Linked DNA regions of Astyanax mexicanus. The protein of the gene in region 2 interacts with the protein of the main gene of each other region in a pairwise test. Links are inferred from orthologs where the notes say so. Each region holds a gene or a part of one and is shown on either strand. Other genes may lie near its edges. The genes, in order: ube2c and mapk7.

Region 1 (3,929 bases), on a different chromosome or scaffold from region 2:
TGAGGTCTAGTGTGAAGTTTCCACCAATCAGTGATGGTTTGGAGAGACATGTCTCCCTCTGCTGACAACTATTACGGAGATGTGGATTTCATTTTCCAGCAAGATTTGGCACACTGTTCACACTGCCAAAAGAACCATTTGGTCTACTTTTCTGAGATACTGGTTTTTGAGTTTTCATTAGCTGTAGGCCATAATCAATAACAATAAAAGAAATAAGTGCTTAACTTTTCTCAAAATGAAGACATCACTTTAGTTTCTGAACCAGTTTCTCTGATTTTGCTATTTATAGGTATATATTTGAGTAAAATGAACATAATAGTGAACAATAGTGAAATAACAAAAAAGACACAGAACTGTCAGACCTCAGATAATGCAAAGAAAACAAGTTTATATTAATAAAGTTTTAAGAATTCAAAAATCAATATTTGGTGGAATAACCCTGCTTTTTATTTCACAGTTTTCATGTATCTTGGCTTGGTTTCCTCCACCAGTCTTACACACTACTTTTGAATAAAAGTTCAAGCAGTTCAGGTTGGTTTGATGGCTTGTGATCATCCATCTTCCTCTTGACTATATTCAAGAGATTTACAATTTAGTAAAATATTTTTTTCCCCTTTATTTATATATAAATGCTGTGGAGATAGGAAGAGGGTAGGTTGTCCATATAAACTAGCTCTGTCTGTACTGCATTCAACGGTCGCGAGCCACGCCCCATGCCGGCGCGACGTCCAATCAAATCGAAGAAAATCGTGAAGCGCGTTTTTCAATGGTTGCTAGGACAGACTTTTGTTTTGAGCGCTGGCTCCTGATTGGCTGAGCGGCTGGGCGGAGCGCCGGAGCGGTTGGGTGAGAGTCAGTTTAAACAGGGGGGCGGGATAAAGATTTAAAAATCTCACTGTGGAGTTTTACTGACTGTTAGAGACGGGACTGGACGCAGCCGGTAATAACTAGCCTAAATACGCACTGAATTTTACTATTTTGTGGCTTTTATTGTGAAATAATAATGAAGCTTGATTTGTATATCGATAGGTTATCGATTTAACAATTAATTTGAGCGATTTGGTTGGATATAGAGTGTGGGATGGCTTTAAATTTGCTGTGTTTTAGGAAGCTAACTTAGCTAGCCTAGCTTAGCTAGCGTTAACTAACTACAACTGCTCTTTTAGCTAGCGTTAGATTAATATATCATGCTTTAAACATGTTAACCTAAGACTTAAGTATCTATAGTAAACCTAGTTAACAAGTTTGTTGGATGTTAGTAACGTTAACGCTATTTATTTCGTTATGTTTTGGACGTGTGCTGCGTTTAGCTGTGCTAAGCTAGCGGTTTCTAACATAGCAACGGTTTGGTCGCACTGCAGTGTTTTAATGGCGTTGCTTTGCTTGTGTGGCTAATAAGCTATTTAACTGAAATGTCACGATTTAGCTAATCATTTTAAACGTTTGGTTGAGGCTAAAAATGGTTAGATTTTAGATTAAATACGTATTGTTAACGGTAACTCTATCTAACCCAGGGCTCTGGCTTGTCCTGAGCTAGATTAGGTTAACGTTAATTCAACTTGAGTTTAAAAAAAGGGAGAAGCTAAAGAAATGATGATATTCTTACGTAGGGTGGGTTAGTTAGGTTAAAATATTAGCCATGTATGTTTAATAGATAATAAAAACGAACATGTAAAAGATCTGCACTATGTAAGTTAATGTTATCTCTCTCTCTCTTTTCATTGTGATGTGCTTAGTAGCTGGCTAACCTAGTTTAAGAGGTGTAACATATGTAATAATCTGTTATAATGGATATTGTTAATGTTATGAACACACTGCTGAATGACACTCAATCCATAACCAAGTCATGTCGATTCTCAGGTTTTAAGCAATGGCCTCCCAAAATCTGGATCCTGCGGCAGCCTCCTCCACAGCTGCTCTGAAAGGAAATGAATCTGGCGGAAATGTTCCCAAAGGCTCAGTTTCAAAAAGGTACGCAGTGACTTTCCGTCCTCACTTCCAGAACCAGTGGTGATGCACTGATGGCAATTCTAGGCCGATACTGGTTTTACAGGAACACGCACGTTTTGTTTTATTGTTTTATTTGAATCCTCATTAGCTGCTATCACCATAACAGCTATTCATCTTGAGGTCAACTGCACATGGCATATTCTGCAGAATCTGTGTCTTTTCTGGACCCAGGAAATTAACATTACATGTATAAATGTGCACATAGTAATACATTTCATTAAAAATCATAGTGTCTTGTACATTAACCTAATCACAACAGTTAGTTGTGTAATCTTTTTTGGAAAACTGAAAAAATATATAATTTGTTACCTGTCCCTACTCTGTAACTATAAACTTTAACTATGAAGTATAATTATTAAAATCCTTCAAAATCCCTTACGTGTTTTGCATTGTTGTGAGACTCCAAATCCCATCTATGCTTAAAAAAATATTTCTATAGTTTTGTGTTAAAATACAAATTTTAGTGCCATTTTCAACATCTATCACTTGCGTAGAGGTTACACATGCTGGCCTAACTTTAGAAACAAATGTAATGTTTATTTGCCTTACAGTTTAGCTTTGAACCAACTGTATGCAAACAAAAAAAATAAAAGATTTCTCCTAAAACGTTTCCAACATTTTTGCTAACTGGTTCTTACATTTTCATAAAAAGTTGAATTCTCTTTAAAACTAGTATCATAACTTGATAGTCATGGTAGAAGTTGACAGATAATTATCATGACTTTCATCGCATTACAAGTCCATGGGGGCGTAATAGTATGCAATGCAACAGTAAAGATTTATTTTTATTAATTGTATGTGTCCATTCTTATTTGTTCATTTTGAAATTTTAAAGCTTCAACTTCTAGTCCCTTAATTTTAGATGCTTTGAGTTCTGATACTACTAGTATACACTACACAGAAATATGCTATTACTATATGCTGAATAGAGTTTTAAAAAGAAAAAAGGGGCCTGTTTATGTATATAAATATGTAGCATAGGTCAATAGCTAAGCTCCACATCCTGTTCAGTGCACAGTATCGTGTTGGATACGCACAGATGCACATTTTGCAAACTGCACTTTATACCTCCAATTTGCCTTCTTGCCACATCCTTGTCCTGAATTGCATGTAAAGCTGTGCACTGAGTTTTTAAACCTTTAAGAAATATATATTTATTTTTGTCTTTCATTATTTTTTCCAACACCATGTACTGATAATCTTGATTTACTTCATAATAAATACCTACACATTACTGATTGCTGTTTTTGGTCTCTGTATGTTTCTAGACTTCAAAATGAGCTGATGACTTTAATGGTGAGTGTTACATTTTTACATTTTTACATTTTTTCATAGTAACATTTTTACTCTTTAATGCTTGAGTATACATTAGGGCTGGGCAATATAAAATTGTAGCATAACGTGAGAAATGTGGTGGTGTAATCAGTAGGGGTGTGCCATATCGTATCACACACACACTTTCACACAAAAAAAAAACAATGACACAAATAAAAAAGATAAATACATTTAAAAAATCTGTGTTTTTCAAATAGCCAAGAACATTGTAATTGAAAAAGTACCATGAAATATTGTGGTGGTTTTTATTAGCATATCGCCCACCCCTAGTAATCTGTGATGCACATCTGTGTAACTGGTGTATTTCTTCATTGCTTAAAAGCACACAGACCTACAGCATGTTTTGAAGTCCTGTTAAATTGAAAGAAATTCATCACATTGTGGATGACATTTCTATTTAATTAACTCAATCTGCCACTATACATTTTGTCCTGTAATACTAAGTACTGAAAAAATGTATTTAAGTATTGTATTTCTTATTATTTTTATTAACTTTCTTATTGTTTCATTCCAGATGTCTGGTGACAAAGGAATTTCTGCGTTCCCAGAATCTGACAATCTCTTTAAATGGATTGGCACAATAG
Region 2 (3,929 bases):
CTGATGCTGACGACCAAAGTTCAAATGGTTCCTACCATTGTCTCGCCTCCTGGCAGAAGAAACGACACCATATGCACCAGTGCCGATGGTCTCAATGATGTCATATTCTTCTCCAACTTCAAACTTCACATCTAGGGAGTGGGCCTTGAGAAAGGCCAAGTTCTTTGCCGCCACAGTGTTCGCGTCTGAACCCGTGGTCGCATCACTGGGAGGCTGAGCATGAAGTTCTCCCACAGGAACCTGGATGCTCTTGACACTTTCACTGTCGCACCCAGTCTTGCTGCCGGCGCCCACAGAGTCACACACCGGACCCCGGTTCGCCTCTTCAGCTTTCTTCACCTCGCTGGACGACATCTTTAATTGTAACTACAAGGAAGGAGAGAAGAAAGACAAGGTCAGTTTATAAAATACGGACCAAAAATGTTGTACCGGTACTTTGGCATCATACCCACTTTGATGCCAGACTGACGTTATACAACAACCAGCTTATGGCTCTTGTAGGTGTTAAGCAGCTGGCAATAAATAACCAGCTTAAACTATAAAACCATAGTAAAAGAAAGCAGGGAGTTTTAAATAAGTCTGCTCAGTATGCATTTAGAGCATTCCTTTATCATACATTTATTCATTTGCTAAAAATGTTGTTTATCCCAAAATATACTCAAGTATTGAAACTAAAAGTACAGTACTGTGTTATTAGTGTAGTAGAGTAGTTATTACAGAAAGCAGTGGAAAGTTCTCAGAGTGAAAGGCAGAACGGGAGCAGTGAGATCTTCTTATAAGATCTGATGAGCAGCTTTATCAAACCCAGATAATGTGGGTTTGGAATGATTCCTAATATTTTTTATTTTATTTTAATGAATAGTGATGATGCAGCATGTAAAAAATGTATTGGAGTAAAAGAATTAAACTCATCCAAAAATATGTAGTGAAATAAAAGTGGAAGTAGGAGAAAAAGTAATACTCCAGTAGATACAGATACGGTATTTTAGTACTTAAGTACAGTAGTGAAGTAAAAATAATACTCCAGTAGATACAACTACAACATTTTAGTACTTAAGTACAGTAGTGAAGTAAAAATAATACTCCAGTAGATACAGATACGGTATTTTAGTACTTAAGTACAGTAGTGTAGTAAAAATAATACTCCAGTAGATACAGATACAGCATGTTTAGTACTAAAGTACAGTAGTGAAGTCAAATTAATACTCCAGTAGATACAGATACAGCATTTTAGTACTTAAGTACAGTAGTATAGTAGAAATAATACTCCAGTAGATACAGATACAGTATTTAAGTACAGTAGTGAAGCAAAAATAATACCCCAGTAGATACAGATACAGCATTTTAGTACTTAAATACAGTAGATACAGTATTTTACTTAGCCCCAATTCCCATGGAAGTATATTCTGAATGAATGCCCAGTACCGACAGCAGCCAAACAGAAGAGACTTGCTTTTACATATACCAAAATTAAAGGCACAGAATGTTTATTTCTAAATAAGAAAAAGAGGATAAAATGAGAGGTTTTGAGTGGATACAACCACACACAACTGTTGAATATAGGCTGAAATAAAATGAATAAATAAATAATAATGAACAATATGAAAATCCAGTATAAAGCATCACTGGATTTACGTTGCTCGTAGCCTGCTACACTGGAAAATACTGTACTGCAGATTATAAATTCAAGTGTTTTAAGGCTCACAGGTCACTGTCTGCACTATAAAAGAGAAATAAACTGTATAAATCTGATATAAATTAAATAAAACAGTATAAAGCTGTGAGCTGGTGTGGAGGGAGATGATGTAGCTGAGAGAAGCTAATGTATTACCACTCAGCGAGGCAGCTAACCTAACCTACCCTACTGTCTGCTCCCTTTTTCCTTCAGAACTAAAACAATAACCGTATTAAAGAGCTGAGGAACACTGCTTTTACCTGGAGGAATCACCGAGACCTCAATAATCCTGAACGCGTCTCTCCAGACATGTTTCTGTCTCTCTGTCCCGCCGCTGTTTGTTGTAAATCAACGGTAAACCTGCTTCACTTCCTCGTATTCTTTCGAGTTGTGCTCGAGTGGCAGCGCCACTGGCCAATCAGACTCGTCCTCCTGCCCCAATCAGCCAATAGCGTCTGCCGCCTGGCTGGGGGGCGGGATCTTCTCAGTGGAATAGGGCCATTCTTTTGGGCGGTGTCGACAGAAATGATCTTAAGCTAACGATATCAGGAGCGCTAAACCCTCAAATTACAAATCATACAACCGGCGAAATCTCGGTTAAAACACAAGAATCAGTAGAGACCAGTTCAGTCTTAAACTCTGCGAGTTGTGAGGGTTTAAAGTGGACCGATTAATAGATAAAGATTAACTGTGTTTACATGTGGATATAGGGGCTCCTCCCCCTACCTACTGTCTACTCCATAGACCGTTCACACACCCAGCTTGTGTGTGTGTGTGTGTGTGTGTGTGTGGGAGAAGGAGGAGTGGACAATATGACGATATTTGATCGCTGTCATGTTGCTAAAAAGATATAGAGTGCTAGACATAAGTTGGGACACACATTTACACTTTCTTTTCATTTGTTTTTCATTATTTAAAAAAAATATACATTGTAAGTTAATACTTTGCTATGAAGATGCATCCATAAATCTACAAACATATAAACCTATGTAAATATTTAGCGAACATAAAAGGTATATGTTTTACATTCTTCAATGTAGCACCTTTTTCTAAGATGCCGAATTTTGCTGTGCCTTGGCACAAGTTAATAACTTAATTAATTAATTAATTACTTAAAGGAGAAATACGGTGTGAAATGGGCTTGGGGTGTAGAAGTAAAACATGGTAACAAGTAGGTTTTCGCTATCAGAGGTACACTGCTGCTGCTACAGCTCAACCAATCAGCTCTCCCTCCTGCCCTGCCTCTAAACCCATACATCACCCAGTGCCCCTGCCAAACTACCCCTTCCATTTTTTTTTTTAGCTTTTTTCACATTTGAGCTGTGAATGGAGTCAGCCCTTTAATAGTGTAAAAAGTGATTCATTTGCATGGGCAATCCTATGCCCCTATTTCTAGCATTGTAACCCTGTTGAGAGCTAAAAGTGATGGATTTTTGAACCCTGGGGGAAAACAGATGTTTGCTATTCGATTAAAGTTTACACTCATAACCATGTTTTACTACAAGTCCATTTCATACCAGATTTCTCCTTTAAATTATGTAATGCAACCAAACAATGAACGTTTATTCAATGTTCTTTTGTGCCATAAAGGGAGTGTATAGAGTGGATATATAAAGTATGCTCCATTTGGACACTTTTATTGGGACACGTCCTTTATTAACTGCGTAGATTTACACAGCTGTCCACATCTGCCCCCACTGTCCAATCAGAGCAGAGCAGAGATCTGGTCCAATCAGAGCGCTTCACTCAGTTCCTCCACGTTGCAGAAGTTTTTTATTGACTCGGTAGAGCTGTGCTGTAGAGTCAGTGCGGTCCGGGCTGGATCTAAAGGCTGTTTCTCTGATATTACAGGTTTTTACCGCGGGTTTTAGAGTCGCTATGGCGCCGGGTGGAGCTCCTGCTGGGGTGCCGGGCTGGGAGCGGGCTGCCCGGGTCCTGCTCTGCTCTTTAGGGCTGCTTCTCTCGGTCTACGCGCTCCACGTCGAGCTTTCCAAGGAGCACGACCCCAAATACAGAGCCATGTGTGACCTGGCGGAGTCTGTGAGCTGCTCCAAGGTCTTCACCTCCAGGTACAGTGTGTTCATACACGGGCCCTTCCTCTGATCTGCTGTGAGGTGTTTACAGGTGTTTAAGATGTTTGAGATTCTGTCTGGAGTGTTTAAAGGTGTGTTTAAAGGTGTTTGGCGTGCTGTTTGGGGTGTTTAAGTTGTTTGGGGCGCTGTTTAAGGTGTTTGGGGTGTTTAAGGTGCTGTTT

Evidence for each region.
Region 1: the proteins of mapk7 (region 2) and ube2c interact in binary tests that used the Homo sapiens proteins (3 or more experiments, as listed by UniProt). The two-hybrid records come from large-scale screens. The link is inferred for Astyanax mexicanus from reciprocal best matches to the Homo sapiens genes MAPK7 and UBE2C.

What each region holds. Positions count from the first base shown.
Region 1 is NC_064412.1:6,312,852-6,316,780, reverse strand, and holds the start of ube2c (ubiquitin-conjugating enzyme E2 C), read left to right. Parts: upstream 1-811; 5' UTR 812-940; intron 941-1,860; 5' UTR 1,861-1,870; coding exon 1,871-1,971; intron 1,972-3,278; coding exon 3,279-3,306; intron 3,307-3,859; coding exon 3,860-3,929. UniProt on the Homo sapiens protein: Accepts ubiquitin from the E1 complex and catalyzes its covalent attachment to other proteins. In vitro catalyzes 'Lys-11'- and 'Lys-48'-linked polyubiquitination.
Region 2 is NC_064422.1:10,147,089-10,151,017, reverse strand, and holds the start of mapk7 (mitogen-activated protein kinase 7), read right to left. Parts: upstream 2,398-3,929; 5' UTR 1,936-2,397; intron 367-1,935; 5' UTR 355-366; coding exon 36-354; intron 1-35. Other genes in the region: vkorc1 (vitamin K epoxide reductase complex subunit 1), read left to right, coding at 3,554-3,744. UniProt on the Homo sapiens protein: Plays a role in various cellular processes such as proliferation, differentiation and cell survival. The upstream activator of MAPK7 is the MAPK kinase MAP2K5.